Arabidopsis thaliana: one gene and its partner. The protein of the gene in region 1 interacts with the protein of each later gene in a pairwise test. Each region holds a gene or a part of one and is shown on either strand. Other genes may lie near its edges. The genes, in order: BBX19 and AT2G30540.

The links.
Region 2: the proteins of BBX19 (region 1) and AT2G30540 interact in a two-hybrid assay, tested with the Arabidopsis thaliana proteins (one large-scale study listed by BioGRID).

What each region holds. Positions count from the first base shown.
Region 1 is NC_003075.7:18,152,723-18,169,631, reverse strand, and holds BBX19 (B-box type zinc finger family protein), read right to left. Parts: upstream 8,545-16,909; 5' UTR 8,057-8,544; coding exon 7,964-8,056; intron 7,758-7,963; coding exon 7,662-7,757; intron 7,577-7,661; coding exon 7,544-7,576; exon of another isoform or gene 7,464-7,543; intron 7,339-7,463; coding exon 7,242-7,338; intron 7,126-7,241; coding exon 7,010-7,125; intron 6,910-7,009; coding exon 6,748-6,909; coding exon of another isoform or gene 6,671-6,747; coding exon 6,587-6,670; 3' UTR 6,311-6,586; downstream 1-6,310. Other genes in the region: GH9B16 (glycosyl hydrolase 9B16), read left to right, coding at 206-453, 504-546, 630-956; AT4G38980 (uncharacterized protein), read left to right, coding at 1,892-2,734; FBA2 (fructose-bisphosphate aldolase 2), read left to right, coding at 3,973-4,149, 4,412-4,681, 4,774-4,883, 4,984-5,074, 5,155-5,293, 5,371-5,501, 5,640-5,918; AT4G38950 (ATP binding microtubule motor family protein), read left to right, coding at 11,171-11,357, 11,583-11,672, 11,758-11,858, 11,951-12,064, 12,152-12,233, 12,379-12,446, 12,530-12,595, 12,720-12,844 and 5 more; AT4G38940 (Galactose oxidase/kelch repeat superfamily protein), read right to left, coding at 15,672-16,784.
Region 2 is NC_003071.7:13,003,521-13,019,156, reverse strand, and holds AT2G30540 (Thioredoxin superfamily protein), read left to right. Parts: upstream 1-7,113; 5' UTR 7,114-7,589; coding exon 7,590-7,898; 3' UTR 7,899-8,052; downstream 8,053-15,636. Other genes in the region: AT2G30560 (glycine-rich protein), read right to left, coding at 300-592, 1,588-1,810; AT2G30550 (alpha/beta-Hydrolases superfamily protein), read right to left, coding at 2,152-2,398, 2,931-4,273; AT2G30530 (zinc finger CCCH domain protein), read right to left, coding at 8,290-8,538, 8,626-8,790, 8,938-9,084, 9,293-9,403, 9,497-9,679, 9,826-10,086; RPT2 (Phototropic-responsive NPH3 family protein), read left to right, coding at 13,584-13,654, 13,738-13,807, 14,001-14,378, 14,975-15,636. UniProt on the Arabidopsis thaliana protein: May only reduce GSH-thiol disulfides, but not protein disulfides.

The DNA of each region.
Region 1 (16,909 bases):
CTTTGATTTTTAAAATGACGAAATTATATTCATAATACAATAAAACTCATGATCGTAACTCATTTTATACTGAACATACAAGTAGTATAACTTGACCATGCATATATTATTCTTCTTAAATAGAAAAATGTATATATTCTGGTATACCGGTCGAGAACAAACTCGTTTAATTCTAAACCGTTTGAGCTGCTTGTTGTTGATATAGGAAGTATTTGAGAAGAATGTTGCTGCGATTGCACCGTATAAGGATACAGCGGAAAAATTGATGTGTTCGTTTTTTCTGGAAACTCCTGGTGCACATATGAGTTACTCTCCCGGTGGTCTTCTTTACAAACCCGGAAGCAGCCAGCTCCAAAACACCGTCGCATTGTCTTTTCTCCTTCTCACTTACGCCAATTACCTCTCCAAATCCTCTCAACAACCTCTCCAAATCCTCTCAACAACTCCACTGTGGTAGTCTCAAGTTCCAGCCGGATTCTCTCCGTCGCTTGGCCAAACGACAGGTATTTAACACAACGCATAGCAAATATAGTTGGTTTTGAGAAAGTTCATGAGTTATCATTTTACAAATTAGTGGTCTACTACTTAACTAACTTGATCGGTTATATGGTAATAATGATTTCATATAGGTGGATTACATTTTGGGAGATAATCCGATGAAAATGTCATACATGATCGGGTACGGTAACCGATATCCACGACAAATCCATCACCGCGGTGCATCCTCACCGTCTATCACTACTCATCCTACCCCGGTCAAATGCTCAGAAGGATGGAACAGTTTCTCGTCACCAAATCCAGACCCCAACGTTTTAGTAGGTGCAGTGATCGGAGGACCAAACATAGATGACAAATTCGTTGGAGGTCGGACAAATGCAAGTGAGACTGAGCCGACGACCTACATCAATGCACCTTTTGTTGGTCTCTTGGCTTATTTTAAGGCCAACCCGGTTTGAGACGATTCTGCCTTTTAAGATTTGACAGAAGAAAGTAAGTTGTATTAAACAACGAACAGAATCTTTTTTTTTTTGTGCAAAACGAACAGAATCTAAAAGTGAGTATTTTTGTATCACTTGATTCATATAATGAAAGAAAAACTAAAAAAAGTATTAACGGATATATAATAAGACTCTTTTTATTTTAAACAAATTGGGGTATAATGCAACTTTTGTCGATGTTTAAGCTTTCTTTAAGACCAACCATATGTTGAATTTTGACTGTGTGTTGATGAAATAAAATGCAGAAGGACAAATACATTAATGTCTACTGTCACACAATTTGGGATCACATTGGGCCAATAAAAAGTATGAGGCTTTTCTGTAAATCTAAAAATATTTGGGCTATTAATAACAAAACAAAACAAAAAACAAGTCACCACAAAAACGGCATCGTACAAGTTTATCCAAAATTCCAAACAATTTAACGTCGTTTACTCTTCAGTTTCTCAGAGATTTCAAAATTAGTTTTTCTTCTTCTTCTGAAAATTAGGGTTTTTTGGGGGATTCTCGTGTGGATAAAGGTTAGTCATTTCCTTAATTGGTTAATTGAATTGAAGTACCCAGTAATCCATTGGACTTAGTCATGGATTTAGGTGTGCTCAGAAGAATTTTCGTTTTCCTGCTTACGTATTTGACGTTTATACTCTTTGATTCGATTCGTTATATATGTTTATTCTGTGATTCTTGTGCATTCGAAGGTATTTCACTTTTGTTGTTGATGCTTCTAAATCCAATTCACATCCATGTAACCCTAGTTTTGTTATAATTAGTGATTGAAATTAGTGTATTTAGTATCAATCTGGTATTTTTATCCATCCCGGGATGTCTTGTATATGTTATCCCTGAGTTCTCTAACATCTATCATAACTTCAAATCTCTGCTTTGTTGTAGCCATGGCTGAACGAGAAGACGCAGCAGAGGTTTCTCTTTCAGTGAGAAACGAGGAAGATCTTTCTCCTGAATGTGTAGCTTGGGCTGATTCTTGCATCATCAGTTTTCTAGATGATTCAGACAACAATAATTGGGGAACTTTTAGAGATGCTTTAACAGAAATCATCGATATCCATCCCGAGATGTTTGTTTTTTCATCAACAACGGGAACAAGAGGTGTCCTGTCTCCAGACGAGGTTATGACTGAATCCGAGACTATTGATCTACGGAGATCTGAACCAGCAGCTGGTTCAGCGAACAGTAGAACTAATTCATCGAATGAAGAAGTTAGCGAGATTATCTCTATGCTAACTTTTGAATCAGACCCGTCAAAGAATTGCTTAGAAGATTATTATTTTCCAGAGTCTATAGCAGAGAATGGAAACCGTGAACCAGCGGACGGTTCTAAGACAGATCTTGGAGGTGTTGAAAGTATAGAAGAAGATGGGTCAGTGAGCAATGGAGAGGCTAAAGAAGAAAAACCAGCGTCAGTATCGTCTCAAGTATTCAAGGATGATTTCATGAGCACATACGTTGAAGACAATGCTGAGGATTGTAATGTTACAGAGGATCCTGTCAAAGTAACTTCACAAGAGATTTTCAAAGTGTGGGATCTAGAGGTTGTGGGGGACAATGATGAGGAAGATGGGTTGGTGCTGCAGCTGAAGAAGGCCCTCGATGAGTCTTCCACTGTCCAGCCCCTTCCACAGCCACTGAATGATGATCAAGTTGTATCAGAGAAGAGCAATATCGATGATCTGATATCTGGAATATCGGATCTGTCTCTTGCAGAAACTTTTAAGTGAACTATGTGTATGTGTTTTATTTTGACATCACAAACTCTCTTTTGCTTTACTACTCCTTAACCGACACAAACCGGGTTTGAGATTTCAAAATCTGCTACTAGACCAGACCGAAAGGTTTACTGGGTCAATTTGGTGCCTACACATCCACTTGGCCACCTGTTGTGCAATGATGACGATGAGATTGCAGTGTCTCTCGACTGATGATGTAGACTTCACAATCTCTTAAAAATCCCAGTACTTAACCTCAGCCTTAAGAAAACGCAGGGAACTACGTCCTCACAAAATCTTTCTCTTTGAGTGTAACTTTCAGACGCATCTTTGGCTCTAAATTCTAAAAAGGAAAATTTTAATAGGTTTTCATAATCATGGGTTCACTGGATTAGCATATAAGTCTATGGTTGAGAAACTTGAGACCCAGACTAACGAAACCTCTTTCCGGATCCAAAGGTCCTCTTGTGTAGTTGACGTGGTAAACTCTCTACCGTCAAATTTAGACATTAGCTAATCTGATCAATAATCTCGGCAGCTCTTAAAAATTAAAAATTAGAAATGATACGAACCTCATAATTTTTCTTTCTCTTATCAAAACACCATCTTTGTATCTTTATAAGCCTGTTGCCACTATTTTTAATTGAAAATGATGCGTTTGTCTTATGTTTTCTGTCCTGGAGTTCAACATTATGACAATATGTATAGTAAATTAGTGATATACAAGACGTTTGCAATTCAAGAAAAAAACTTATAAACTAATTAATATTATGGTCCACGGTGCTACATATTAACTCTTGATGGTTTTATACATCTTTTCTACATGCTAATATGCTTTTAATATTGTAGCCTAACGTTATAATTTGTTTTTTCTTAAAGAAACAGTATCTTGAACGAATCTTAACTATTTCTGTACTTATTCGATTTTATTCGATTTTTATCCGTGTAAAGGCAAACGATTATTATGTAACGACGGGCATAAAAAGAGTATCGATTTCCTATTCGGAGAAAAAAAAAAAGATAAAAATTGGAGTGTATGTATATTTCTTGAATTGAGAGTAATACAAGATTACGGTCCAGGTGGCGGAATATTATTGGCAAGGTCACAAGAACCTCAAATAACTGATCTGAAGAGAAATATAAATCCAAAAGAGGGAGGAGTGAGAGATAAGGGTGGTGTCATAAGCGTTTACTGTGAGTCTCTCAAAGAAACCAAAGGCAGAGAAAAGAGATAACACACACAAAAAAAAATGGCATCAACCTCACTCCTCAAGGCTTCTCCGGTGTTGGACAAATCCGAATGGGTCAAGGGACAAAGCGTTCTCTTCCGTCAGCCTTCTTCCGCTTCTGTCGTCCTCCGCAACCGTGCCACCTCCCTCACCGTCCGTGCCGCTTCCTCCTACGCCGATGAGCTTGTTAAGACAGCGGTTAGTTTCTTCACACATATCCTCTCTTCTCTACCACGTGTTTTATCTGCATGATTCGTAAAGTGCCTTTTGAATGGGAATGTCTAGATTCTGTTGTTCTGTTTTGCCCTGTTTCTACTTTTTTTTTTCAGAATCTATTTAAACCGAATTTACCCTTCAGATGTTTTGTTTCAGTTTTGAACTTTTGATCTAGATTTTGGTAATACTATATGATTGATTTATAATGCAATTCCATTTGATTCTCTTAATTTTGGTGGAGTAGAAAACTATTGCGTCTCCCGGACGTGGAATCTTGGCGATGGACGAGTCAAACGCGACTTGCGGGAAACGTTTGGATTCGATAGGGCTAGAGAACACTGAGGCAAATCGTCAAGCTTTCCGGACTTTGCTGGTCTCTGCACCGGGACTCGGACAGTACGTCTCCGGCGCAATTCTATTTGAGGAGACTCTGTACCAGTCTACCACCGAAGGCAAGAAAATGGTCGACGTCCTCGTCGAGCAGAACATTGTCCCTGGTATCAAAGTCGACAAGGTAACTAAACGCATAGACTGTAGAGTATATATACCAACATGCATGGTGCTTAATTTGAGGAATCTTAATGAGTTATGTGTATGGAATATTAGGGTTTGGTGCCACTTGTTGGATCCAACAATGAGTCATGGTGCCAAGGACTAGATGGTCTATCATCTCGAACTGCTGCTTACTATCAACAGGGTGCGCGTTTCGCCAAATGGTACAGACTAGTACTCTCGGTTCTCATTTCATTTCCTACTACCAAAAAATATGCCTAGGTTCGATTTCATAGTGATTTATTGTCTCTGATGGTTGATTAGGCGTACTGTCGTGAGCATTCCTAACGGTCCGTCTGCCCTCGCCGTCAAAGAAGCTGCTTGGGGTCTTGCTCGATACGCTGCCATTTCACAGGTAACAAACATAGCGTGTATCCCAAGAAACATGTCAAATCGGAGTGTATCAAGCTATTCACACACGACTTTATTTTCCAGGACAGCGGTTTGGTTCCGATTGTTGAGCCAGAGATCTTGTTGGATGGAGAACACGACATTGACAGAACATACGACGTAGCAGAGAAGGTTTGGGCTGAGGTTTTCTTTTACCTTGCTCAGAACAATGTCATGTTTGAAGGTATATTCGTTATAAAGTGCTTCTCTTAATACAACTTATAATGTCTGAAAAATCACTAAGGAAACTTTTACCCACAGGTATCCTCCTAAAACCGAGCATGGTGACTCCCGGAGCTGAGTCTAAAGACAGAGCTACTCCTGAACAAGTTGCCGCCTACACCCTCAAGCTCCTCCGCAACAGAGTCCCTCCCGCAGTCCCCGGAATCATGGCAAGTTTCTCTCATTCTCTTCACAATTAAAAGATTGTTCGATTCAATACAACGAAAAGGTGTTTTATGAGGCAAAGCCTAATATTGGTTGCTTGAGGTAGAAGTAACATTGTTTCTTGTTTTTTTTGTTATTTGCAGTTTTTGTCCGGAGGACAGTCGGAGGTGGAGGCAACACTCAACTTGAACGCAATGAACCAGGCACCAAACCCATGGCACGTGTCCTTCTCCTACGCACGTGCGTTGCAGAACACTTGTCTGAAAACATGGGGCGGCAGACCCGAGAACGTGAACGCAGCTCAGACCACTCTCTTGGCCCGTGCCAAGGCCAATTCGTTGGCTCAGCTCGGAAAATACACCGGTGAGGGTGAGTCCGAAGAGGCTAAGGAGGGCATGTTCGTCAAAGGGTACACCTATTGAAGAGATGATGCTGTGAAAAAAGAGATGAAGCAGATGTTTTAATCACATTTGTTTTTGAGTTTGCTTGTTATTAATCATGTCAAATCATTATTTTCTCTGCTTACTTTGCGTTAGCTACTCCTTTTAATAAGTTCTATTATATTGAAGTTATCTATCTCTCTTGATCTATTTAAACTTGAAACTACAACTATTCCATAATCAACCAATTTTAAATTTTGAACAAAGAGGATACAGGAGGAAATGGTCTCCACGAAGCTTACAATTCTCAAAGGACAACGCTTAGCCTCATGGGGCCTTTGCATATTAAGTGGGCTTAATCTTTTAATTGGCCCAATTTTTCGTCTTCTTTCTTTTTCGTCCATTTCCCAGAGGATTTTATTAAGAAAAAAAAACAGAAACAAATAAAATTATTTAGAATTTCAGAGATTAGCTTACATTCATGTGAGCACTTAAGCTAATTCCTTAAAACTAAGATAATGCACAAACAACATAAACCTTCCCTCTTCAACAACAAAGCTCGGTTACACCAGCAACGATCTAAGAATCAGAAGGAAGGAAAAAAAACGGACATGAAATCTCCAGTTCTTGAAACTTTTTACAATCTTCTTCTTAAACTGATTTTTTGAATCAGAGTAAAGAGTCTCTTTCTCTCTCTCTCTCTCACCTTATCACTTCTCAGACTCTCGTTTAAAGGGTCCAACTGGTACAAGGCCTGCAGGCTCGTGATTGTTCTCGTTATTTACATCAATCCCCTGCTCATTGAGAAACATTCGAATTGAGAATACAAAAACAAAGATTGAGAATATGTTGGATAGAGGGATTCATATACGTTGTTATTTGATGATGGCTCATGTACTCTTTGTGGATTAGCATTTAGATCAATCATTTCGTCATCAATCTTCCCATTGGCTTCACCATTTCCATTTGTAGAGACTCTTTGGTTCTGCAAATTGTCCCTCGTATTGTTTTCTTTAGGCTTATCCCCTGGAAACTACAAGAAACGATAAACACAAGATGACTATTAAAACTAAGAAATCGACTCAAAATGATTGTGTGTCTGCGTGAGAAAGAAACAATTAGTTAATTCAAACCTCGATTCTCTGTCTCAGCAAAAGAAACCGACCGTGTGTTCTCTTGCCACCAACATGTACTACCATGTCACATTGCAGACAAAGAGAACTACCGTCTATCTCACAGTAAAAGAAGGCTGTTCTCACAACAAAAAACATTGCAGACAAAAGATTTCTCTTCATTTTTCAATATATGTACATATGCGAAAACATTAAACACGAGTGTGGGAAGTTCATTGTAAAGAGATCATACCAGGTGCATTTTCGCATATATCACAGCATGGGGCATTGCTTGGTTCAGCTAAACCAACACGTACATGCCGACTAGCTAGCTTGTTGCACATATGAACCTGAAAGAAGAAAACATTACAAAGCTTTGAAGTAATCCATTTCCGATCAAAATCCGAAAACTACTAAGAGCTATTGCAGTAGAGAAGGATGAACCAATGACTCGAGAAGGACTATAAAGTGTTACCCTTAAGAGTCATCTAACTGAAGTAAGGATTAAGCGCAAAGAGCAGAAAATCGATTATTTTCTTCTCCAGAAGTTAATACTACTAAATGCAAACTCTGGAGACAAAACGTTCCCTGCAATGTACATGACAGAGTAGAATCATTGAAACCGCAGCAACAAACACTCATGTAATCAAACATGTAAATTCATCAACTGAACCATCTTAATCCACCAAATGAGAGAAGAGGTTTCAACTATTTGAACTCTTTTGACGGATTCACTACACTTCGAAATATCTAATCTCATGTGAAGAGCCTAAGAATCTAGAAACCAAATCTCAAAAATCTTATTTCTTTAGCTCAAAGTTATCGAAAAGCCAGATCAACTCAGGTCCAAATCAACTGAGAATTCCCAGACAGAGATAACAAAGACTTGATCTTTGACGAACCCATCAGAGCACAACCAATAGATAGAGAGGAGAGTTAAAGAAAAAAAGGAAGCTTTTTTGGGAGAGAAGTTACTTTTTCATCGCAGGGGCGACAAAGGGCAGCTTCATCGGCGGCGCAAAAGATGATTGCGGCTGCGTTCTCGCAAGCATCGCACAAAATCCGCATCTTGCTTTTTCAATCTTATAAGTCTTTTTCTCACTCTATTCGGAACAATGAATCTCACCTTCAAGACAAAATCTTTAGCCAGAACTCAGATTGCGATTGAAAGAGATGAGAAGTGGAAATAATAAGTAGAAACCTCTGATTAATTAAGGAGGAAGTAGATTAAGGGTTAGGATTACGCGTTGGTATCAAGGAACTAGAAGAAGAAGAAGAAAGGGAAGAAATTATTTAAGATTATAAAAATCGCTCCTTTAAAATCTTTTTCTACGATGGAGGAGAAGCTTGAGAGACCAGAAGAGACGACGACCAAATCCACGCGCCGAGAGTATCAAATAAGCATACTTTGCTGTGACAAGGCAAAATCTGTTAATTACTACTTTGAGTAAATTTCTCCAATCAATTACTTTTTTTCTTTAATTGTGTGTTTTGACTAACGAAAATTATGATTAAAGTAGTACCTAACAAGAAATGTGTGTAGTATGATTTAGGAGAAAATATTGGGAAGACCAAATCTTTTATAGTGGATATGGTTTTGAGTTATAAGATTGTTTAAAGTCCATTATATCAGAGACCATTATCAGACAAAAAGAAAAATGATATCGACTAAAAAGTGAAGACGAAAGACTCAATGCCATCTGGGAGGTCATTGATGTGTCTCCCTGAAACACATTCGTTGTCTTGTTTCCTTTGTTTTGGTGAAAAAGTTTTTTTTGTCACAATCTTTATATGATTTCTTGGATCCTATATCTGATTTTTTTTCTTCCTTTTTTTGACGGCAGCTGAAATAGTTTTAGGCAACATAATGTGCTAAGATTTAGGACGTGTGACTATTTTTAAAAGTAAAAATATAAACTAAAATAAATAAAAAAGGGGGAAAAAATAAGAGCCACAAAAGGAATTAAAAAAAAAGACAAAGAGGTGGGTGGGCCAAATGTCACCAGCCATTTAAAAAATTGGTGGTCGAGAAGTAGTTGAAAGCAACTCTCAAAACTCTACTAGTGGCCTTGGTTTAATGTTGTTTTTATTTCCTTGCCCATCTTCTCAATTTCATTTAACTAACATCTTCACAATTATCTTAGTTTTTTTTTCTTTTCATCCCAAAGTTTATTCTTTCTCTCCTCCATAAACATTCTTTTGTAGCTTGTTTTATGACACTTTGGCATTTGTAAAATTTGAAAGAAAAGTTTTGACGCACCCTATTCATAAACACGAGAATCAATATTTGCATAATTACAATGTTCTCTTCTGTTGAAAATATAGATTATGGTTTTTATAAAAAACAGAGCATCCAAAGAAGAGAGTTTGCCTGCCATGTGCATCATTGCTAAATGTTGGGCTTTACTTGTAATGTTGGGCTAGATATCCATTATATTTGTTATCAAAATATCATTATGACCTTCTGGGCCGGGAGAAAAGGTCTCTCACTAATGGGCTACGATGAAGTGGAGTGTGAGGTCCACGTGGCGGGTTTAAGGTTCCTAATTAAGTTTCAGGGGTAAACCGGTCATTAACTACCCAAGCCGAGAGAGAGAGAGTCTGAGAAACCGGCGAATAGAAGAAAAGAGAGAATCTTTGGGACCAAATCAATGGAGTGGTCCCTTCAGACAAAAGTTAAGAAGAAGAAGACGACGACGACTACGACGAAGAACAAACAACTACCAAACTTGTAGGCAGTAGCAGGAGGAAGTGGGTGGGATTAACATTGTCATTTCTCTCTCTTTTTCTTTTACAAATCTTTCCGTTTTGTTTTCTTTTGGTTTTCCGGTGAGCACTGTTGTGTTTCCAATTCCGGCACTCTTTAGGGTTCCCTTTCAGAAGAAAACTTCACATTGTTGTTTCTCTCAACCGTGACATCTTGGATTACTACTTCTGACTACTTTCCTTTTTCATGTGCCCCAAAAGATAATAGTTACTTTTTCAAAATCTGGTTTTGTTGTTTGGGTTTGTGTCATTCATTGATAAAGTCACTAATGGAGAAGTACAAAACAATTGCAAAATTTCGAATCTGTGTTGTCATTGCTGAATTCTGTAGTGGATGTTTGCTTGCAGTTTAGAGCTTCGGAGTGCGAAGAGTGAGACACAAGAGGATTCTTTCTGGAACCGCATTATTCCCTTTAGAGGAGGAAGAAGAAGACAACTCACTCACAAGGTAAAAACAGCTCCTTTGCATGTTTCTTTATCTTGCTTGTTAGAGATGTAGACAAGACACGCACTTTATAGACGCAAAATCTTAGTATTCTGGTTCAAGATTGAGATGCATTTTGTGATAATGATTAAATGTTCTGTTGGTGCAATTGATAAGGTTTCATTGAGTTTTGACTAAGTAAACTCCAAGTTACTTTTTTTAACCTTTAAACACGCATTTGTGACTGACCTTGTCTCCCTCTCCATTGATGAATTCAAAAACTACAAAGCTATTATTTTTATGTTTGATTTTGCGTGTACATATATTATAATCCAAGTTACTTTTCAAAGTTTAGAGTATGATAACTTATTTTTTTGTTCTCTACACTAGATGTATATGCATTTTATAAGGAGAAGCATGGTCTGTGGGACCATGCATTACCTCTCTTATTCGATTAAACAATGTTTAGATTTGGTAAAACGTGACTTAGTCCTCAAGCATAGTGGGTGACCATTACAGATAAAGTCGGTAATCTTTGTTTTGTTTTTCTTCTTCTTCTTCTTCTTCAGTTGTGGTTGATCACCTTCTAAGTAAACTGTCTTGTATAATCCTAATATTATAATGACAAGAAGTCTTCTCTTATTTGTGTCTTTGTGGTTCATATAAAATGTTCAAGTGTTCTCTTTCATCACAACACAGAAGCTTTTCCTTCTCCAGGCATGTTTCATGTTTTAGTCTCTTAGTTTTAGTTTGGTGAGATCAGATTTCTGAGTTTTTCCATTTATTTATGGTTGTGATTAGTTGGAAAATAAGGGTCCTTCCTGCTTTTGAAGTTCTTTCACAAGTCCTGAATATATTTTCTGCAGTAAATATGCTAAGACTCCAATCTTAGAGGTCTTAAGTTTGAACTGTTTCAGGAAAACAAAGGTTCCTCTGGTTACTCTGAAATATTCAAACCAATGGTGAGCAATTGGTAGCACTTGCTAAAGAAGATGGAGAAGACACAGATGCCTGTAGCCCGAGAAGAGAAGATACTGGTTCTCGTGAGATTGAGGCCTCTAAACCAGAAAGAGATTGCCGCTAATGAAGCTGCGGATTGGGAATGTATCAATGATACCACCATATTGTACAGAAACACATTGCGCGAAGGCTCGAACTTTCCTTCTGCATATTCATTTGGTAAGAAGAGCAATAGTGCTCTAACGGTTAAACCTCTTCTATACATTAGATCCACACTCTCTTACTTGAACTTCAAACTAATAGTTAACCTCTTTTATGAACTTAACTCTATCTGGCTTTGACCTTTGCTTTTCTAAATTTCTACTTTCTTTTTGAAACGATCTCACCATTCATCCGTATGCTGACTCAGATTCCCATTTTATGTTTGATTTTTTTTGGTGACAGATAAAGTCTACCGAGGTGAATGTCCCACCAGACAAGTTTACGAGGATGGAACCAAGGAAATCGCTCTGTCTGTTGTCAAAGGAATCAATTGTAAGCTTGATTTCCCGTTGTTTTGCTGATGCACACATTGATGAAACTATATGCTTAGTTCTTCTATGACTGTAACGATGGACAGGTAGTATTTTCGCATATGGCCAGACGAGTAGTGGAAAGACATACACCATGACTGGTATTACTGAGTTTGCTGTGGCTGATATATTTGACTATATATTTCAGGTACAGGCCTCGTTGCATAAGTAATTTTTTTCCAAAGTTAATGCTGGTATTTATTCTTCTTATGCACTACTAATTGGATCTGGATGCTGCAGCATGAAGAAAGGGCGTTTTCCGTGAAGTTTTCAGCTATAGAGATCTACAATGAGGCCATACGAGATCTGCTTAGCTCGGATGGTACATCACTGAGGCTACGAGACGATCCTGAGGTAAATGAATATCATTTTCCTTACTGAGTGTTTTTTAGTTTGTAAAATTGTCTGACTCTCCTTAGTTCTATCGTTTTTTCTTATTAGAAAGGGACAGTTGTTGAAAAAGCCACAGAGGAAACTCTGCGAGACTGGAACCATCTGAAGGAACTTCTATCTATTTGTGAAGGTAAAACTCAAAAGTCAAAATCACTTTCCATTACTATGAAGTAGCCAATGAAAGTAGTGTTGTTGTGTACATGATCTGAAACTCTGTATTTTCTCCAGAACATGTTTTCTGAAAAGTAAACTTACATGCTTCTACATTTTCGCAGCACAGCGTAAGATAGGTGAAACCTCATTGAATGAGAGAAGTTCCAGATCTCATCAAATGATCAGACTGGTTAGATTCTTATCTATCAGTTTATTTATGATACAAATTCTCTCTCACTTAGCTTGGCCCTTGATTGTCTCGTTACTTATTAGACAGTTGAAAGCTCTGCTCGTGAGTTCTTAGGCAAAGAAAACTCCACCACCCTCATGGCGAGTGTGGTATGCTCTCATCTGCAAAGCTAAAACAACCCTTCTTTATGTTATATCTTGAGAGTTTTTTTTTTTTTTTAAAAAAAAAAAACAAAAACAATATGTCTTCATGTTGATCACCCTTTATGTGCAGAATTTCATCGATCTAGCAGGAAGCGAGCGTGCTTCACAAGCTATGTCAGCTGGTACAAGACTCAAGGAAGGCTGCCATATCAATAGAAGTTTGCTGACTCTTGGAACAGTGATCCGTAAACTTAGGTGTGTAAACAATACATCCTTTAAAGATTGCTGTCTTTGGCATGCTTAGTAGTTCAACTTTAATAATAGAACCACGCCTTTCTACACTTGACCTAGTAAGGGAAGACAAGGGCACATCAACTTTAGAGACTCGAAGCTCACACGAATTCTACAGCCATGCTTGGGGGGTAATGCAAGAACAGCTATCATCTGCACTCTGAGCCCAGCAAGGAGTCATGTAGAGCTAACGAAGAACACTCTCTTGTTTGCGTGTTGTGCAAAGGAAGTCACCACAAAGGCGCGGATCAATGTTGTTATGTCAGACAAGGCTCTGCTAAAGCAACTACAGCGTGAGCTTGCGAGGCTCGAGACTGAGCTGAGAAACCCTGCCTCCTCACCTGCCTCAAACTGTGATTGTGCAATGACGGTGAGGAAGAAAGATCTTCAGATACAAAAGGTTTGTGCTTTGTGAACACGCCCAAATTGCTTCCATATGACATTGGCTGGTTTTGTAACTGTGTGGCGGGTTAATGCTGATGAAGAGTTAATGTTATACAGATGGAAAAGGAGATCGCAGAGTTGAGAAAACAGAGGGATCTTGCTCAATCCCGGCTTGAAGATTTCATGAGAATGATTGAACACAATGTGGCGTCAAAGGTATTGCTGGTTCTTCCCACAATCTCACTTTGTGCAGCAGATAATTGAATTGTTCATCACGTTTTCCCAATTATCACGGTTCTGCCTTAGATTTCTATGGCAATTTTACTAAAAGGTTTGCTTCTGTTTTTCCTCAATGGAAGCCTGGAACTCCACATTTCGGCAACCACACAGACAAGTGGGAGGATGGTTCAGTATCGGAGACATCAGGCGTGGTCGATTCAGACAGAAGGAGTTTTATATCAGATGGAATGTCTACACCGCTGTCAATATCAAGAGCTTATGTTCATTCTCACTCTGACGATGATGATCTGGATGAAGACTTGCCTAGGCGTTCGGAAGATCTATCAGAAGAATATTGCAGAGAAGTTCAATGCATTGAGACTGAGGAATCAGTCACAGTCTATAATAACAAGAAAGACAAGAGAGCAGAACCTGAAAACGTTTTAGGCTGTGGTGAGGATGCTAATGGTGAAACGAGTGTAAGCCAGAACGTCAGGGTGAGAAGTTGGAACCGCAGAGAGACTGTGTCAGGCCCGAGCACTCCGCCTGAAAACATAGGGACAGGTTTCCTCGGAAGACCAGAGAGTCACAAGATTGCGTTTCCTGATTTAGAGTTCGGTTCTACTGTATCGAGGAATGATTCTATGTCTTCTTGCGGGAGCGATTCCACAGGGACTCAGAGCATCAGAACGCCGTTGGGAGAAGAGGGTGGTATTACTAGTATCCGGACTTTCGTTGAAGGGCTTAAAGAGATGGCTAAGCGTCAAGGCGAGGTAAGTTCATAAACATATATACTAATCGATTCTTCTATGTAGCTTACAATTGATTTTCAAGGTTTGTTTGATCAGGTCTCAAATGCTGAGGATTCTGGTAAAATGAGGAGGGACATTGGTCTGGACTCCATGGACAGAGAATTTGAGAGACAGCGGCAAGAGATTCTGGAGCTATGGCAAACTTGTAACATCTCTTTGGTGCATAGAACATACTTTTACTTGCTCTTCAAAGGAGATGAGGCGGATTCAATCTACATCGGAGTAGAGCTAAGAAGACTTTTGTTTATGAAAGATAGCTTCTCTCAGGGAAACCAAGCATTGGAAGGAGGAGAAACCTTAACATTGGCCTCAAGGTTAGATCTTTTTGGCGTGTGTATATAGCGTTTGGCATTAGTGGTTGCAGTTTTTTTTAATGCCTACTATTTTTTTTTTTGTGGTGAAGCCGGAAAGAGCTTCACAGGGAGAGAAAGATGCTGAGCAAGCTTGTGGGGAAAAGGTTTTCAGGAGAAGAGAGGAAAAGAATCTACCACAAGTTTGGGATTGCGATTAACTCCAAACGCAGGCGGTTACAACTTGTGAATGAGCTCTGGAGCAATCCCAAGGACATGACTCAGGTTATGGAAAGCGCAGATGTTGTAGCGAAGCTTGTGAGGTTCGCTGAGCAAGGCAGAGCCATGAAGGAGATGTTTGGTCTGACCTTCACACCTCCTTCGTTCTTGACAACTCGGAGATCGCATAGTTGGAGAAAAAGCATGCCTGCACTTTTCTAACTTCTGTTTGGTCCAATGACATTTTACTTTTGGGTTTCTTGTAGCAGAAGCCATGTCTTGTATATCTTCTTGGTGTCATTTCATTTCCTCTGTCTTTTGATTTTTCAAAACAGACAATGTTGTAATTGAATTTTTCTTTTCCATCAAATTCTTTTCTTTTTACCCGTAAAAATTGTTATTAATGTTATGAAAACTCATAATATTTTGACCCAAAAAAAAGAGGAAAACTCATTATGTGTACATGTGTTATTGAAGAAAACAACGATAGTTGGTCTCACAGTAAAGAAATATAAATCTTTGAGCAATCACCAAAATATTCCTTACAGTACAAAAATATATGCATTTGTTATTCTTCCTAGATTATACATGAAGTGTAGTTGTTTACTCCAACCTGCTATGCTGGATACGATTCTGTCAATTTGAGACTCTTATCTATCTCTAAGTTTTGAATCACAAGAGAAGACAGAAGCAGCAGCAGGAGAGGGACTCTATTAACAAATGTAAGTAAGATTTCCCCCACCAAACACAACAACAGTATACCATACAAACATACGCTAATAAAAAGAAGATTCCAGGGAAGAACATTCATAAGCTAGTAAAACACACAAGAACAAGCAGGGGACACAAGTCTATTACAACACAAGATCAGAGCACAACAGCTACACAATCCATTATGTGAAAATTCCCACTAAGCACAACATTACACCACTCCACTTTACCCCAAATCTCTCCACCCTCGCGTCTTTCCACTGCGATTTCCGCACACCAAATCTCTGTTTTCTCTGTTTTCTGCAAGAACAGAACCAATTTCCCACCGGTGTAACTCACAGTTTTGGACCACTTACAAGCCACAGGCAACAATCCTTCAAAACCTTTAACGACTCCCCAAGCTCTCTGCTTTGGATCATAAGCTCTCAAACAATTCTCACGAACATCATAGTAATACAAGACATCATCTATCACACACGCACTCCACCACTCCTTAGAATGCAAAACCTCATCTCTATCGCAACTTGTATCATTCGGATCGCAAACAAAGCTATTGTGATAAGTCCTCATGTAAATCTTACCTCCTATAACCACACTGCTAAACCATTTTTTCCCTGCCTCCCAATCTGGCCTCGCCCGAAGTTGCCACATTTCGGTATCTGTATCATACACCATCATAATTCTTGACGGAGATTTCATCGGCGAGAGCGTATCTGATCCTCCGATTACATAAATCTTCCGATCAATGAGCTCTGTGACGGGAAAAGCAACGGCCTTGGGCATGTTAGGGAGAGTCTGAGCAGTGTGAGTTCGACAATCGATGAGCGAAACACTCGATGTGATCTTCCAATTGCAAAATCCACCCATCACAAAGATGTTCGAACCAATGCCAACATAGCTTCCATGCATAGGCATAGGAGGGAGAGTGGGGATATGTACCAGGCGATGATCAGAGGCGGTGGTGCCGGAGAATTGTTGTCCGTTAGGTTTCCGGCACAGAGTAAACCAATGGATATCAGAGGTTTGATCTTTGGAGATTGCGATGTAGAGACATTGTTCTGTGCATCCGAAGAAGGATCGTCTCTTGTAAATCTCCGGAGAAGCGACGAGTGATCGGAAACGCCTTGAAACTTGGGAGAGAGTAGGGTAATAGCATCTAGGGACACGGGCTACGATATCGACGACGATTTCTTCGGGGAGTAACGAAATCAGACATGGCGGCTCCGGCGGTTGCTTCTTCGGTGCCCTAATTATAATTGGGGAAGACATTTCAAGATCAATCGGCGAGAGAGAAGAAACAAAACCCTAATTCTGTAACCGTTTTCAAGGAAATGAACAATTATATACACGAAGATCCGATTTTGACTTTTGGTATTTATTAAAAGAGAAATCAG
Region 2 (15,636 bases), on another chromosome or scaffold:
AGATTATGTGATTATTAAATATCATGCATGACATGTTCATCAAAACCAAACAATTGAAATGGATGTATTCAAAAGCCCATCCATAATGGTCAGTGAGAACCAAATTGATAAATTAATCTTACATTTACATTTCAATCACTGATTATTACACAAGTTTTAGAGTCTCTTGATGAATACACATATAGTTAACATGGGGTAAGACAATAAAGCAAATTATCATTTATTCATTCATTACATAATATATTTGGTAGTAAACCATCTTCACTCCATTCTCCATAGATGATCAATAAAGACCAAACTCACTTTTTACCATGGAGATTATCAAAGTAACCTTTAGTATCACTCTCAAACTTATCTCTTGAAATGGTAGAAGATCCGTTGCTCCCCGGCGCTACCATGTAGCCACCTCCTCCACTACCGCCACCACTCTTCCCTCCTTTCCCTCCTCCTCCTCCTCCACAACCACCACCATTTTTCCCTCCTCCACCACCACCACCACTTTTCCCTCCACCACAACCACTTTTCCCTCCTGCTCCACCGCCGCTTATTCCTCCTCCTCCACCACCACCTTTCCCTCCTCCACCGCTACCACCTTTTCCTTCCATTCTTTGAAATCTTAGAAGTTCTTAGTGACTCTTTAAGAAAACTTAAGTTTTGTTTAAAAGTGAGAGGTGAGAGGACGGATATTTATAATAGAGTAAATTTTCAAGTAGATGGTTGATGAGGTCAATAAGGTCGAAGAGGCGGGAAGACCTGCTCGTTTCACGAATTAGTCATATTATTTTATGCAATTTCGTTTATTTAATTGTTGTTGAATGTTAGGGAAGCTTTATCAAGTTCTGCAGTTGTTTATTTGGAGTGGCCAGAGTTCTTTCTAACCGAACAAAAAAAAACAATTACAGAAAAAACTAACTTAGTCATGAAACTTTTTTTTGTTATGTATTGTTTCCTCCTACTATGTATTTCTATTTAATGAAAACTCTTTAACAAAATAAACATTGATGAGGTCGAAGTAGCGGGAAGACATGTTCGTTTCAATAAACCAAACCTTAACCTCCAATTAGAATTGACTATGTCTCACCGTGGCCAAAACATTGACTCATGTAATCATGTGTGAACACGAATCAGTAGTGGTACGAATCTAGTTTCTTGTAATTTGAAAGTAAAGATTAATACTATTTAATTCCAGTGTGGTATCCCAATTATCTTTATCTTGTCATGACAATGAGATGATGTGATTATTAAATATCATGACATGTTCATCAAAACTAAACAAATGAAATGGATTAACTTGAGAGCCCAAAAATGCCAGTGAGAACCAAATTGCTACTAAATAAGTCGTACCAACTTAATGTTCAAATCACTGAATTGTACACTTCTTGCATGATATAGACCCATATTGGAACTCTTTTATAGTACCATATATTCAAAAGAGAGTAAGACGAGGTATAGCAAAATCTCATTTTATTTATTCATTAGATACTAGATTTGGTAATAATAACCATCTCCATGGCATAGCTATTCATTACAGATCAAATTCACTTCACTTGTTACCCTGTCCACTACCATGCAAATTATCAAAGTAACCTTTAGGATCACTCTCAAAGTTATCTCTTGAAATGTAAGAAGATCTATTGCTCCCTGGTGCTACCATGTAGCCACCTCCGCCCCCACCACCACCGCTTTTCCCTCCTCCACCGCAACCACCTTTCGCTCCTCCACCGCCGCCGCCGCCTCTTCCTCCTCCACTGCCACCACCACCACCACCTTTTCCTCCTCCACCGCTACCGCTACCGCCTTTTCCTCCCATTCTTTGAAATAGTAGTTCTTAGTTTCACTCTTTAGAAATTTTTAAGATTTTGTGTGAATGAGAAACGAAAGTGAAAAGGATGGGGTATATATAATAGGTGAAAATTTCAAATGCAAGATCAAAACCAATCTTTCCCAATGAAAATACTTAATTTAGTCGTTGCATTTGATTAACCCAAGTAACCAACCCAATCGCCTCGTAAACGTAATAAGTTTTATTAATAGGGAACGTACGTTGACCAAAGCATGCAAGTGAGATGATTGTGACATTTTATTTTCAAAAGATGGATGCGTCATTTACAAATTAGGGAAAATGTGTATATTATATATATGTGCGTGTGATTAACAAGGATGATCAAGACGGAGCTGAGAGAGATGGTGGTGGATATCAGGAGAATGATGATCCTCAAAACGGAGACGCTCGGCTTGAATCCAACGACCTTCACTGTTCCGAACCATTCCTTTATTCGCGTCTTGACGCCAAAACGGTGGAATTTGTAAATGCTCTTTCAAAAAGTCCGACGCTTTGTTCACTAGCGCATGGTCTCTCCCACTCGACAGCACAAATCTCTCTCCTTTTCCATGATACCTAAAAATTTCAAAAAAATATAAAGCAACGTCAATAGTGTTTGATTAGTTGCATCATATGACTAAATCGACATTAATTTCACGTGTTATTCGGTTCAATCATATCGCAAAAACAAATTAGACGTGATCTCACTAGTTTGATCTTCTTGAATATTTTAATGTGGTCGAAGAAATCATTTGGACACCTAGTCCAATCTATTTATCCCACGGCTTCAAAATTTTGTCGTTTTCCAGTTCCACATAAAAATAACATATCAATAAGACTTTGATTTGGGTCATCTTATACCATCCCTGTCCTGTTTTTTTTTTTTTCTCCCATCATCCCAATAAATATGTAATTAAGTATATACTATTCCTTTTGTATAAATGGTTGTATATACTATTGTTTTTGGCTAATCATATTTTTTTTTTTCCAACTATGCAAAATTTTCCAATGTTATAAATTTTTGTGATCTTCAATCACGGCAACACCAATTTTTTTTTATGAACATGAATATATAAACAATGAAAAGTAAAATAAAAAGGAAACGTACCCGTCAAGTAAATGAAGCATAGCTTCAAGATTATGAGCAGTAGAAACATCAACGGAAGGTTTAAGAAACGGCGAGTTCTGATGATCCAACGCCAGCTCCTCCCCCACGTGGCTATAACACCACGGCAACCCCTCCGCTATCTTCATCAGCGCGTGAGGTCTACTCTCGTTCAAAAACAATCCCGGCGACTTGGGAACCACGTCGTGAACATTCACTACTCTCATCACTTTCACTCCCAATTCCTCCATCCTCTCCCTAAACCTAACGTTCCCAACTCTCGGTCCTCCGTATGTCAACACCGTCACCGGAATCACTTTCCCTTTCTTACTCCGATTCAATCTCATCTCCGCTATATCGTACGCGCTTAATATCGCTAACGCGCCGCCGAGACTGTGTCCCGTCACGGTGATGCTTAAATCGGAATCATCGTCGTCGCCGTGTTCTTCCACTAACCGTTTCACCTCCGTTAAAATCTGTTCACGCGCTGAGAATCTCGCGAATTTGCAGGTTGTGTCTTTGTCAGTGTAGAGATCTAAGAATCCGGATTCGACTTTAACGGCCGGGTCGGGGCATCGGATCTTGTTTTCGGTTACCGGTTTTAAATAATCCTTTAGATCCGCGATCCATTCAAGTTTCGTAACGGTTCCTCTCCACGCAATCGCGATATCACGGCGGCCGAGTCGGTTACGAGACGTTTCGTCGTCTGAAACGGCGACGTATCCCATCCAATTAGCGTTTTTGCTCCAGACTTTAGACCACCGCGATTTCGAGAAGAAGTTCGGGAGATTGATGTTCGACGTCGCGTAGAGGTAACGCGCCACCTCGTAACCGGAATCGATCATTCCGAGAGAATCGAAGAACTCGAGTCGCGTGAACCTGGAGGTGCCGCAGTATTTGGAAGCGGGATCGAAATCGAAAGCGTCGTAACAAGCTTGAGCCATTTCGCCGTAACGGATTAGCTCCGATCTAAGAATTGGATCCATTGGATCCATTAACCCGGCCCAATCGTCTTCTCCTTGGATCTTACGCCACGTGTCTCTTAGTCTTCTTTCTTCTTCGGTTTTTTTATCTCGCCGGCGAATATCTTCCGCCGTCATCCATAGTTCTCCAGCTCCTTCCGCTTCCTCGATTAATAAACCTTGTCTTTCCCGCCTTTCTCGCTCGAGGCGAGAAATCACGGCGGATAAAGACGACTCGTCGGTTCTGGACAAAGCTCTCGTAGCTACTCGGAATTTGGCGGGAAAATTGATTTCTGAGAAATTGGTATTTAGGGAAGAAGAACCGGTTATGGAGTTTTTGTGGTTGATGGTAAGAAGGTTGTTGTGGGAAGGAATAGCCGCCATTGTTGAGAAGCTTCAAAAGCTTGATTTCGTAATTGGTTGACGAAGAAGCCTTTATAACACATAAAAATAGCTTAACGTGTACTTCAAGACACAAATGGTAATAAGGTAATAAATAAATTGTCATCGATTTCATACACACTTGATAGTATTTATTTTATTTGATAAGTTATAAATTATATTTATTTAGTTTTGAGTGTGTTTGGTAGTGATTGCACAATGCTTAAAGGCAATAAGCAGGCTCTAGGGATTGAGGTTAAGGATCTAATGATCTATCACGGTGATAAAAAAAAAGTAGTAGTATACACTAATTTAAGATTTTGCTTTTCAACATTAATGTACATTTTATTTTAAAATTGTAAGATCTACAAAAGTTTATAATGAAATTGTTTTTTGAGTTATGAGTCTAGATCTAAAGCAAAAACTAAGTCGTCTTTTATGTTTCTGTTTTAGTTAAGAGGATTTTTGTTTTTCATATTGAGTTAATTAGTAAAAATATCATAACATTGCTTAATTTTCACTTCAAATAACAAAGCGACGACTTTTACATTGTTATAGTATATTAAGTTTCAGAAAACTATTTATAAGATTAACTCTTATATCACCGGTAAGTGACAAGAGAATTGAATTACTCAACTTGCCGTCAAAAGGAAAAAAGAATGACTCAACTCATATAATATAAGAGTATGCTTTGGCCTTCGTGTGGAAAAGTCATGGACCAATGGCATCATGGCAACACATAACATCAGTTTTCAAGTAATATTTTCGTATACTATATTACAAATGTACAATATATATATCAAAAGTCTAATGTGAATTTGCTGTCAAAGAATACGAACTCTAATGTGAATCCATATCTAGATGCTTCTTAATAATTGAATTATAAGATTGTTGAAATATTAAAGACGTTTTTAATGGTCTTTATAAATGACCTAAAACTGCATATGAATAATTGACCCCCGACCATATATTTACAACAAAACGACAGCTCAATCTCGTCACATTATGTAATGAGAATGAGGTGTCCTTCTCTCGTCACTAGCTTACTTACTTTATGTTTCATCATTAAATATTTGGACATGTGATTTAATGAATTAATTAGTTATAAAATATAATAGAGAAAAAAATAGCGTTGGAGAACATTCAAGTCAACTTGTATTTGTTTGGTGGTTTCATCTGAAAATCCAAAATAACTCAATTTGTATTTCATTTATTTAATTGTGATATCTTACTAATTTTTGCAATCTGGTACAGATCAGAATGAATGGATCCATACTGTTTAAAATATATATATATAGATGTTTTTAGTAAGAATGATTGAATGTTATATATATAGAATCGAGTTCACGCTTTTGTGGAGATTTTCTATGGTGACATCCTAACTCACACGTATTTTATATTCTTTTCTGATTCGAAGAAGTTTTCTATGCCATTAAATATAGTTCCAAAATCAACCCATTTGCTTTTGTTAGAAATAATTTTTGCGTTATGACTTATTAAACATATATGAGATTTCTATAAGTCATTGGTATGTCACTTAGCTAGGAGGTTGCACGTTCAATTTTCTTCTCAGTTTGGTCATAGTCGTCGAGACAATGCATACCCGGCCCATTTCTTTAGACCATATCCGAAAATGAACCCTCTAAATATTCAAATTCTTGTATATTCTTAAAGCTAAACAACTCACTTCTGAAAACTGCTTAAAAGATTATTAGCTTTTGAAACATAAATATATAAATTTATCGGAGAGAAAGAGTAACTATGAATCTATGATCATGCATGGCTTATAAGGGAGTTTGTAGTAGCCATTATCGCCAGCCTGCCATTATCTTTTATGGCCACTTCTTCAAGGTTTCATCGTGTGAGTGACCATATAACCTCACTTAGCTACTAACCCTTTTTCAATCATTAATTATAATCCCTAGAAAGCTTTTTACCAAACCAAAACAAATATTTCTATATAGGGCAAGTCTCCGATCTTACGGGAAGCACTTTTTGGTGGTAATGGAAGAGGGGGTTAACATAGATATTCAGATGGTCATATATATAATTAATATAAGAATCAAGAAGATCAATTCCAAATATATGCTGAGTTTGTAACTATGTTAAGTTTCATGGATTTCTAACTCTAATCCTTATCTTTCGAGGTGATGATTGTCTTGGTCCAACTCAAATTGTTCTCATTCTATGAAGGACAACATATCTTACTTGGACCAAATAAGTTCCTTAATCTTTAAACAAAATCAATTGGCGTTAGTAAATTAATTCATGTCCTATACATATTACTCTAGGTCTAAGCTTACTTCAACTGACATGGGATCTCATAATCACTGGTTTACTTTAGTCAAGTGGTAAATGGGAAAGAATCTTGGCAAATTGTTGAAAGGGAAGTGGCACACAAGAGAAAGTAAGAAACCGATAGGAGTTATTATTCCTTCATGATCAGAAGTGAGATTGAGAGAATCTCACAAAGACAATCATATCTTGTTGTATAGTGACATGTTTCAAGAATAGGGTTTTTAATTGTTGACACACACACGATCCAATCCATCAAACCCAGCCTGATCTCTTTTTCGTGGCTGCGAAAAATACCGTCAATCAAGAGAAGAATAAGCATATCTCTCTGCTTATTCCCCACCACTTTGGGCTATCTCACACCCACACCCTTCATCTGAGCATGATTCTTGAACAAAATAATATTCTTCGAGAGAAAAAGTAAAAGCTTGGTCCACATAAATTGTAAGATTCTAATCCGATCATGCATAAAAAAGTTGCAAATACATATATAAAACATGTGCGGATGTACCATATTCTTTAGCATCTGCAACAAAGAAACATATTGTCCTGTTCAACTCAAAATGCTCACTTTGGTATCTAGGAGGAAAAAAGGGTAGGTGAATTGTGATTATGCAACTTTTGTTGGTCCTTCCTTACTAATATAATATGAATTAAAGAGGAAAACAAAATATTAACAAAGTCACTTTAATGTACTTGGGGAACCTTTAGCTAGATCTCCTGTGATCTCTCTTTTTTTGGTCTCTAACATTCTTTTCTTCTTTCTTTCTTTGCTTATAAATAGCATATGGTTCAAGAAACTCAAGTCTCAGGCAACACTGAGCTTAATACTGTAGTACACACACACACACACACACACACACACACAAAACCCTCTTTTCTTCAAACAGGAACCCCAAAAGCGAGGTTTAATCTCAGGCGTTTTCAGTTCTAAATCTCTTTCAATCCACAAGAGAAGGAAGATTTTGTTTCTTCTTCTCCAAGAAACAATCCCTAGATTGATCGAGACCTCCTTCAAGAAACCATGGACAAAGTTGTGAGAATGTCGTCAGAGAAAGGAGTGGTTATTTTCAGCAAGAGCTCGTGTTGCATGTCCTATGCGGTCCAAGTACTTTTCCAAGACCTTGGGGTTCACCCAACAGTCCATGAGATCGATAAAGACCCTGAATGTCGTGAGATCGAGAAAGCCCTAATGAGGTTAGGGTGTTCCACGCCGGTCCCAGCCATCTTTGTGGGTGGGAAGCTCATTGGTTCGACCAATGAAGTCATGTCGCTTCACTTAAGCGGCTCGCTGGTTCCGCTAGTTAAGCCGTTTCAAGCCAATCTATGTTAAAAAGGTGTTCTAATTTTCTATACTACAAAAATGTATTTCAATAAGAAACACAAATCTTATAGCCTATGCAACCTTTGTAATGTAGCTTTATATATATATTGTTTGTTCTGTAATTTCAGGTAATATCCAATAATAATTGACTAATTTCTACTCACCAGTTCAACTTTTAGCTTTCATGGTACTGTTTCAGGGAAATAATAGAACATTCTTCTTTTATTTAAGTTAATTAAGGGTAATAAATAACATTCACTGCTAATTCTTAAGACCCCACCCCAAATAAAGAGTACAGAGTATATATATTTCTACAAATACAGAGCAATTACAGGCAACGATTTGTCTTCTTGTCTGATTCACAACAAGAACAGCAGAAACTGATAGTTGTTGTGGTGTTTCATTTGAGCTCCAAGAAACTTGGATTTGGATTGTAAGAGTTATCTGATGAAGAAGACATTGAAGACACATTAATGGGATATACCTCCGTTACTTCTTCAGTCTTCTCATCAAAGTAGACCACATCTTGCATTGTTAGCTGGTGATATTCGACGACTCCTCTCAGATAGAGGTTTTCGCGGGTGTATATCGAGTTTTCATGAGCCAACCGTGCTTTCTCAGCTAACAGTGTTTCCAGTTGAAGTCGCACCTATAGATGAGAGAAAACACACAACCAAAGATCAGAAATGTACATAAAGAAATGTTAACATTAATGGCTTTGTAAAGAGTAAAATACCAGATCATCGTCATCTGTCTGACTGTCGCCACTACGGTTCTCCCTCAGAACCTTATTTTCTTCTTCCAGCTGTGCGCATCGTTGCTTCGCAAAAGCCAGATCAGACTTTACCATCTTCAGCTCCCGAAGTAAAAGCTTTGCCTTGGCAGCCATGGCCATTGCAACCTGTTGAGATTAATTCAAAGGAGGCTCAGTATCAATACTAAAAACGATTATTCTATAATCATTCACTGAAGAGATAACAGCAGCGGAAATAAGCAGATATAAATTTGCTGCTGTGAACCAATAAATGATACAGAGCAGCCACCTTACGTCGCGAGATGCCTTTAGTTGAATCTCCAAATCAGCTTGTATCTCAGGATTCTGCTGGTTCCTTGTAAGACTTGGCTTTTTTTTAATCTTTTTACGGGTTTCTTGAATGATGCCTGCAGTACGATTCTCCACAGCTGTAATACCCTCCTAAGAATAATCACAGACAAACAACAATCTCAACCCAACAAACTCTCATTTAGTACAGTGCAGAAGATGCACCGATACACACAAGAATGCATATGCCTCTGTATACACAACTAATGTGAGAACTCGCATAACCTAAAGAAAAAAACAAAACTAATATATGTCTCCTATAGTGTGCCATATACGGGTGCATAAAGAGTAAGAAACTAACCTCAACAACAGTACCAATGGTGCCACCAATGTAATTCAACGATGAAGTGATCGCATCTAATCTTCTCTGTAATGAAGGATTCTCGCTTTTCCTACCAGTCTGACCAGCTTCCTGAAACATGGAAATGGATTTCTACTCCATAAGAACGCAACCCCACAAAACAATTGGAAGAGCAAATGCAACTATAAAAACCTAGTCTTTAACCTTAGTTCCTGAAGTTGTCGCAGAAGGTATGCTCTGCTCCATTCTCTTAGGACTTTGAGGCAACTGATTAGGATCATCCTCATCCAAAAAAGCCTTAGCTTTACTAGCTAAACTTCCCCAAAAGCCTCGTTTTGGTTCATTCAAACTCTTCATAGAAGTATACTCATAAGCCTTATTCACCTCCTATTCAAACGATTCAATTGAGGCAAAAACAGAGTAAACCCATGAATCATTTGGAACATTTCAATTGAAGCAAAAACAGAGTAAACCCATGAATCATTATGAACAATTAAGCGACACCAGAAAGAGAGAAGAACAAAAGATGAAACCTTGGGAGGAGTGGGAACAGGAGCAGAAGAAGGAGACGAGTAAGCAGAAGAAAGAGAAGAGTCTCTATGCGCAGAAGATGCTCGAATTGCCTTGGCAGCGAGAGAGGACGCAGCAGATGATGAAGCCGAAGATGGAGACGGAGACGACGAAGATGAATAAGACATTCTCGTCGTCGGCGTCATCATCCTTTCCTTATCTTTCTCCGTCTCCATTTCGAGATCCTCGAATCTGAAATCCTCGATTTCGTCGACTTTGTTCATCAACTTCTGACGCTCATGCTCAATCACAGTCTCCAAATTTGGTGGGTCGATTTAGGGTTTTCCCAAAAGAGAATCCTTTTGGAATTGAATGGATCTCTCTCTGTTTCGCAAATGATGCCAAATTTTCAATTTTGGTGTCGTCAACGCTAGACAGGTGCTATCTCAAGATTCCGGTTATTGATTGAATCCTTGGTTTTCTACAAATGTGTTAAACCGGGTTTCTCCTACTATGAGATTTCATTATACCATTCAAACATGACCTCATAAAGATCTACATTCTAGTAGGGGATGTGGGCTATGTGGTGGTGGAATATTCCGGTTTGCTTGATAGATTTGGGTTTTGTTATGATCTACATTCTCACTAGTTAGTAGGGGATGTGGGCTATGGCCTATGGTGGTGGAAGAATATTCCTGTTTGATTGATAGGTTTGGTTTTGATATTTTGTAGACTTGGCGGTTTGGTTCGGTTTGTAGACCAGACGGTTTGGTCATGTTGTCTGGCATACAAATTAATGGTTTAGCTGTCAAATACAAAAAACATGATTTTATCCACAATGAATCTAGTAACAATCTACAACAACAACAAAAAGAATCTAGTACTAAAATTGGGGTCAAAATCTATTGTTAAAACTTAATCCTCTTATTTGAAACTTCATCTTATCTTAATCCTCTTATTGCTCTTTTAGTTGAAACAACTCTCCCACTTTTGGAATTTATAAATAAATTTTGCAAGCTTCACATGGAGTATAGTGTGATAACCATATAAAGTCACATGCGGCTAGACTTGAGAGTCGACACATATGTTTATGTGCAATGTATTGGTTGGGCTTCTTAATTATGAAACAAATGGGCTTTGCAATAACAAGTTAAGTTTCTCGATCAAGCTAAGCAATATCTCAGCTCGTGTGTTGATTGTTTCTTTTCTTGGTCAATTCCATCAAGCTATATTTCTTCTAGTCACGGTTTCGTACCGTTGCCTCTATCCGAATCCATGCAACCTCCCCAACCATATATAACAGATAAGAGATTTGCACAAATGACAGCGAAATGTGCTAAACTCGTCTGGCGTTTCCTAAGAAGACGACATTATTGTGTGAATTGGAAGAAGCGTGATTAGGGAAACTTGACGTGGACTTTTTGGGCTATTGACAAATAATAACCAACTTTGGCCCAAACTGTTCGTATTAATTTGTGGTTCATTTTGTTTTCTAGTTGCATCTTTTCTTAGCCTTTGTCCCCTCGGTTTAGCCGCTGTGAGGTCGGGACCGTTGTTAATTATTGTAACACCGCATAATTACATAATAATATAAACTCGCAAAATAAAAAAAAACCTATGAGCAACTATATACATTTATTTGCAATATGAGTTTTTAGTAAAAAAAATTACTTATATATATTAGGTAAAAAATTTTGAGTTTTTTTTGCATTTTACTAAATGTATATCATGGATATGATCTGACTAGAATTAGCTCCAATGCCTTTTTTGAATTCAGGTGTGTAGAAATTGCATATCCTTAATCAGAAAATAGCATTTTGGTTCTACTTACCGAATCAAACCAAAATAAACCACAATCCTATATGTCAATCCTCTGGATGTAATTAACCATTATGATCGAAATTGTTGATTGAAACTAGACGGCAATACAGCTCAGGGTATTTGTACTTTTGTTAATAGATTGATAGCACCATCCTCTTATGGTCCAACCTATTTCCTAACATGAATTTTTCATCTGAATAATTTAGACTTGTATTAAGACCTTGCCTTAGCACCTTTTTACAAAATTTAATTATTATTCTCTCTGAATTAATGAAATTTATATGTATATCGCCTACTCATGATCTAGTGGACATCTACTGTTTAGCTAATTCAATATTTTACATTCGGATATTGTGTTTTGATGCAAAACCAATTACAAAAAAGAAATCTAGGGTTTGGAAGTTTTTGCATTAAGATTTAAACAAAAAGTTAAACACCTCACAAAATTTATCACGATACTAAAATAATTTTCTTATCAAATCACATGTTACTATGTCAGCCGGAGAAAAAAGACTCACATGACATATTATCACATCGATTCACAGAAACTTACATCAAAATAGAAAAATCACGAAAACTGGTAAGGGTTTTTAACTTTTTATGAAGACCCATTTTGTGAATCTTCACATTCAAACTACAAATAGTCTTATAAAACTAGTCGCACCGGCAGAAAATTATTAGGGCAACTAGGCAATGTAAGAGACGTGAGATATCTTTAAAGACGATAGGAACACGTGTATAAACATGATTGGAAGACAAAACTGAAACTGGATTCTGATGGATGATTTGACGACGTAGCTAAGCCAAACACCACGAGGTTCTAAGATGAAGCACGACCACATATTTGGGGTGGGCCTTATCTATGACATGTTCCTACTTCCCTAACTTCCATGGTCCTACTTCTCTCTAATCGTACATCCACTTTTAATTTCGTTTCTTATCTGTCAATTATTCACATGCGTTGCTTTTTTTTCTATATTCATAGCATTGTCTTCCTTTAATTCAGAATTTTTAGGCTTTTAGCATGTGAAACTTTAATTTTGCTATCATATTCTCATTAACCAAACCAAAAAGTAAGATTGTTTTTTTCTTTTTGAATGAGCCACTCTACAAATTGTTGCCAACAACCAAATATATGAATGATGATTGGTTCTCACTAATCATTATACTTTATAAAATTTTCTAATCATCACCATATGCATGTTATGAAATCAAGAATTTAGATCCGTTCTGTACTTCTGGTCTGTCACACACTCACACTTTGTCCCGGCTTCTATGTCCTTGTACGATGAGATTGCTTACACATAGCAGCTTTATGATAAGAAAGATTTTCATGTTCGTCATATTACTATAATCATTGTTATCCTGCATGTTTTTTGTAGTCTTTTAACCTTGAATATCACTGTAACATTTACTAAAATAATAGTTGATAATTTGAATGTAGTTAGCCAAATATCAATTAGTAAACGTTCACTTTTCTTTTAATTTTAATTTTAATGATAAATAAATACATTTACTAAATAAAAGCGTAGTAAAGCATGTTACTTACAGAGATATGTTTATTAATGTTATCTACAAATCACCAAGATCGAGATCTCTGTTAGTCTATTATCAAAAAGTTGGTGAAACATATATCGGTATATATGTGGAAGGTCTAAATTACATAAAATAGCCGTCGATACAAGTACATATCCAAATAGGGAAAAGTTAAAAGGAAATGGTGAAAAGGAAAGTAAACGACGAAGACAAACACAAGGATTAGAGTGAGTTAACTAAAAGAGATAATAAACACATCAGAAAACGACAAATAAAAACTTAGAAAAATAAGATAGAAGAAGCCAATCACAAATATTATTACATTAGCAATTGGGTGGATTGGGGGGACCCATGCTAAAGAAATTTCAATATATAGACACTCTCCAATTATGCTTCCATCTCCTTCAATAGAGAACCAAAAAAAATGGCAACAGAAGGAAAAAACCCCATCAACATGAACTCTATGTCTTCAAGTCTTGCAAGAACCGGTCAATGGTACGAATCAGTCTAGTTTCACCAATAGAGTCTCCCGGCGCGAATCATCAGAAATTTTAACATGTATATATGTAACTTTGTAGGGTTTTTTCTCAAGATATTCCGACCGATGTTGTTGTTGAAGTCGGAGAAGCCAATTTCTCTCTTCATAAGGTAAGCAACAACTCTTAATTCTTGGTTCACAACATTTTTCAATACAAAAAAGGATTATTTATTTTTCATATACTCATGAACTAGGCTTGAATAGAGTAATAATAGGATGGCGAGATTAGTACAAACCATTAGCTTACATGTTTTTAATTACACAAAATTTTAACTATAATTTTTCATGATTGTATATATATAGTTCATGTTAGTGGCTAAGAGTAACTACATAAGGAAGCTAATAATGGAATCCAAAGATAGCGACGTGACAAGAATCAATCTCTCGGATATACCCGGAGGTCCTGAGATATTTGAGAAAGCTGCCAAGTTCTGTTACGGTGTTAACTTCGAGATCACCGTTCAGAACGTGGCGGCTCTTCATTGCGCAGCCGAGTTTCTTCAGATGACCGATAAGTACTGCGACAACAACCTTGCTGGTCGGACACAAGACTTCCTTTCTCAAGTAGCTCTCTCTAGCCTCTCTGGAGCTATCGTTGTCCTCAAGTCTTGCGAGATTCTCCTTCCTATTTCTCGTGATCTTGGTATTGTCCGCCGTTGTGTCGACGTCGTCGGTGCTAAGGTATTATTTTACTCAGAACTCATTCTCACTTCTTTGTAAGTGTTGGATCTCCATTTTGGCTAGTGTTTATGTTTTTCTTTTCTACCTATGTAGTAGTAACTGCAATAACCCAATCTAGTAAGTTAGTACAGTTTTAGGTATGTTTTTCAATAAATGGCAAGAATATCTGGTTTAGTTATTCCATAGGTTTCAAATACAGTAATAGTTTGAAATTGATTTTAAAATTTCATCTATCAATTTTCCTAAGAAAAATCAGTTTGAGACCATTGTTCTTCACTTCTTTTGTTCTAGTGTTTATTATTAAAAACAAAAATCTATTTTAATATTAAAGTTTAGATCTATGATTACTGTTGTCAGACTATGATTGCGATTTAGATTCGATAGGAATATTTCATATTTAATTCGGTTTGGTTTCCGAATCTTAAATTGAGCAAATCATACTTCTACCCTATTCCAGTTCCGTGAGACTCAAGTATAATATCTATGTAATGCAAAATGAATTACGAGTTTAATATTTTAACATCCATGAATTTTTGTAATGCTTGGTTACAGTATCTGATACGTTTTTTATATCTATTTCTTTTGATATTTGAAAGGCTTGCAACGAGGCAATGTTTCCATGTCGAACACCACCAAATTGGTGGACAGAGGAACTCTGTATCTTAGACGTCGACTTCTTCTCCGATGTCGTATCTTCAATGAAGCAGAGAGGTGTCAAACCTTCTTCCTTAGCCTCTGCAATCATCACCTACACAGAGAAATCCTTAAGAGATCTCGTCAGAGACCATTCAGGCAGAGGAGTCAAATATTCCGATCCCGGAGATAACGAATCCGACGAAAGATCCCAACAGAGAGATCTTGTTCAATCTATCGTCTCTCTTTTACCTTCAGACAAAGGGCTGTTCCCAGTCAATTTCCTCTGTTCTCTCCTCCGTTGCGCGGTCTTCTTAGACACTTCCTTGACCTGCAAGAACGAGCTCGAGAAGCGAATCTCAGTCGTTCTAGAACACGTCTCCGTCGACGATCTTTTGATCCCGTCTTTCACCTACGACGGCGAACGGTTACTAGATCTCGATAGTGTCAGAAGAATCATCTCTGCTTTCGTGGAAAAAGAGAAAAACGTTGGTGTTTTCAACGGTGGAGACTTCAACAGAGGAGTCTGCTCTGTTTCACTACAAAGAGTAGCTAAAACAGTTGATTCTTACTTAGCGGAGATCGCTACTTACGGAGACCTAACAATCTCCAAATTCAACGCGAT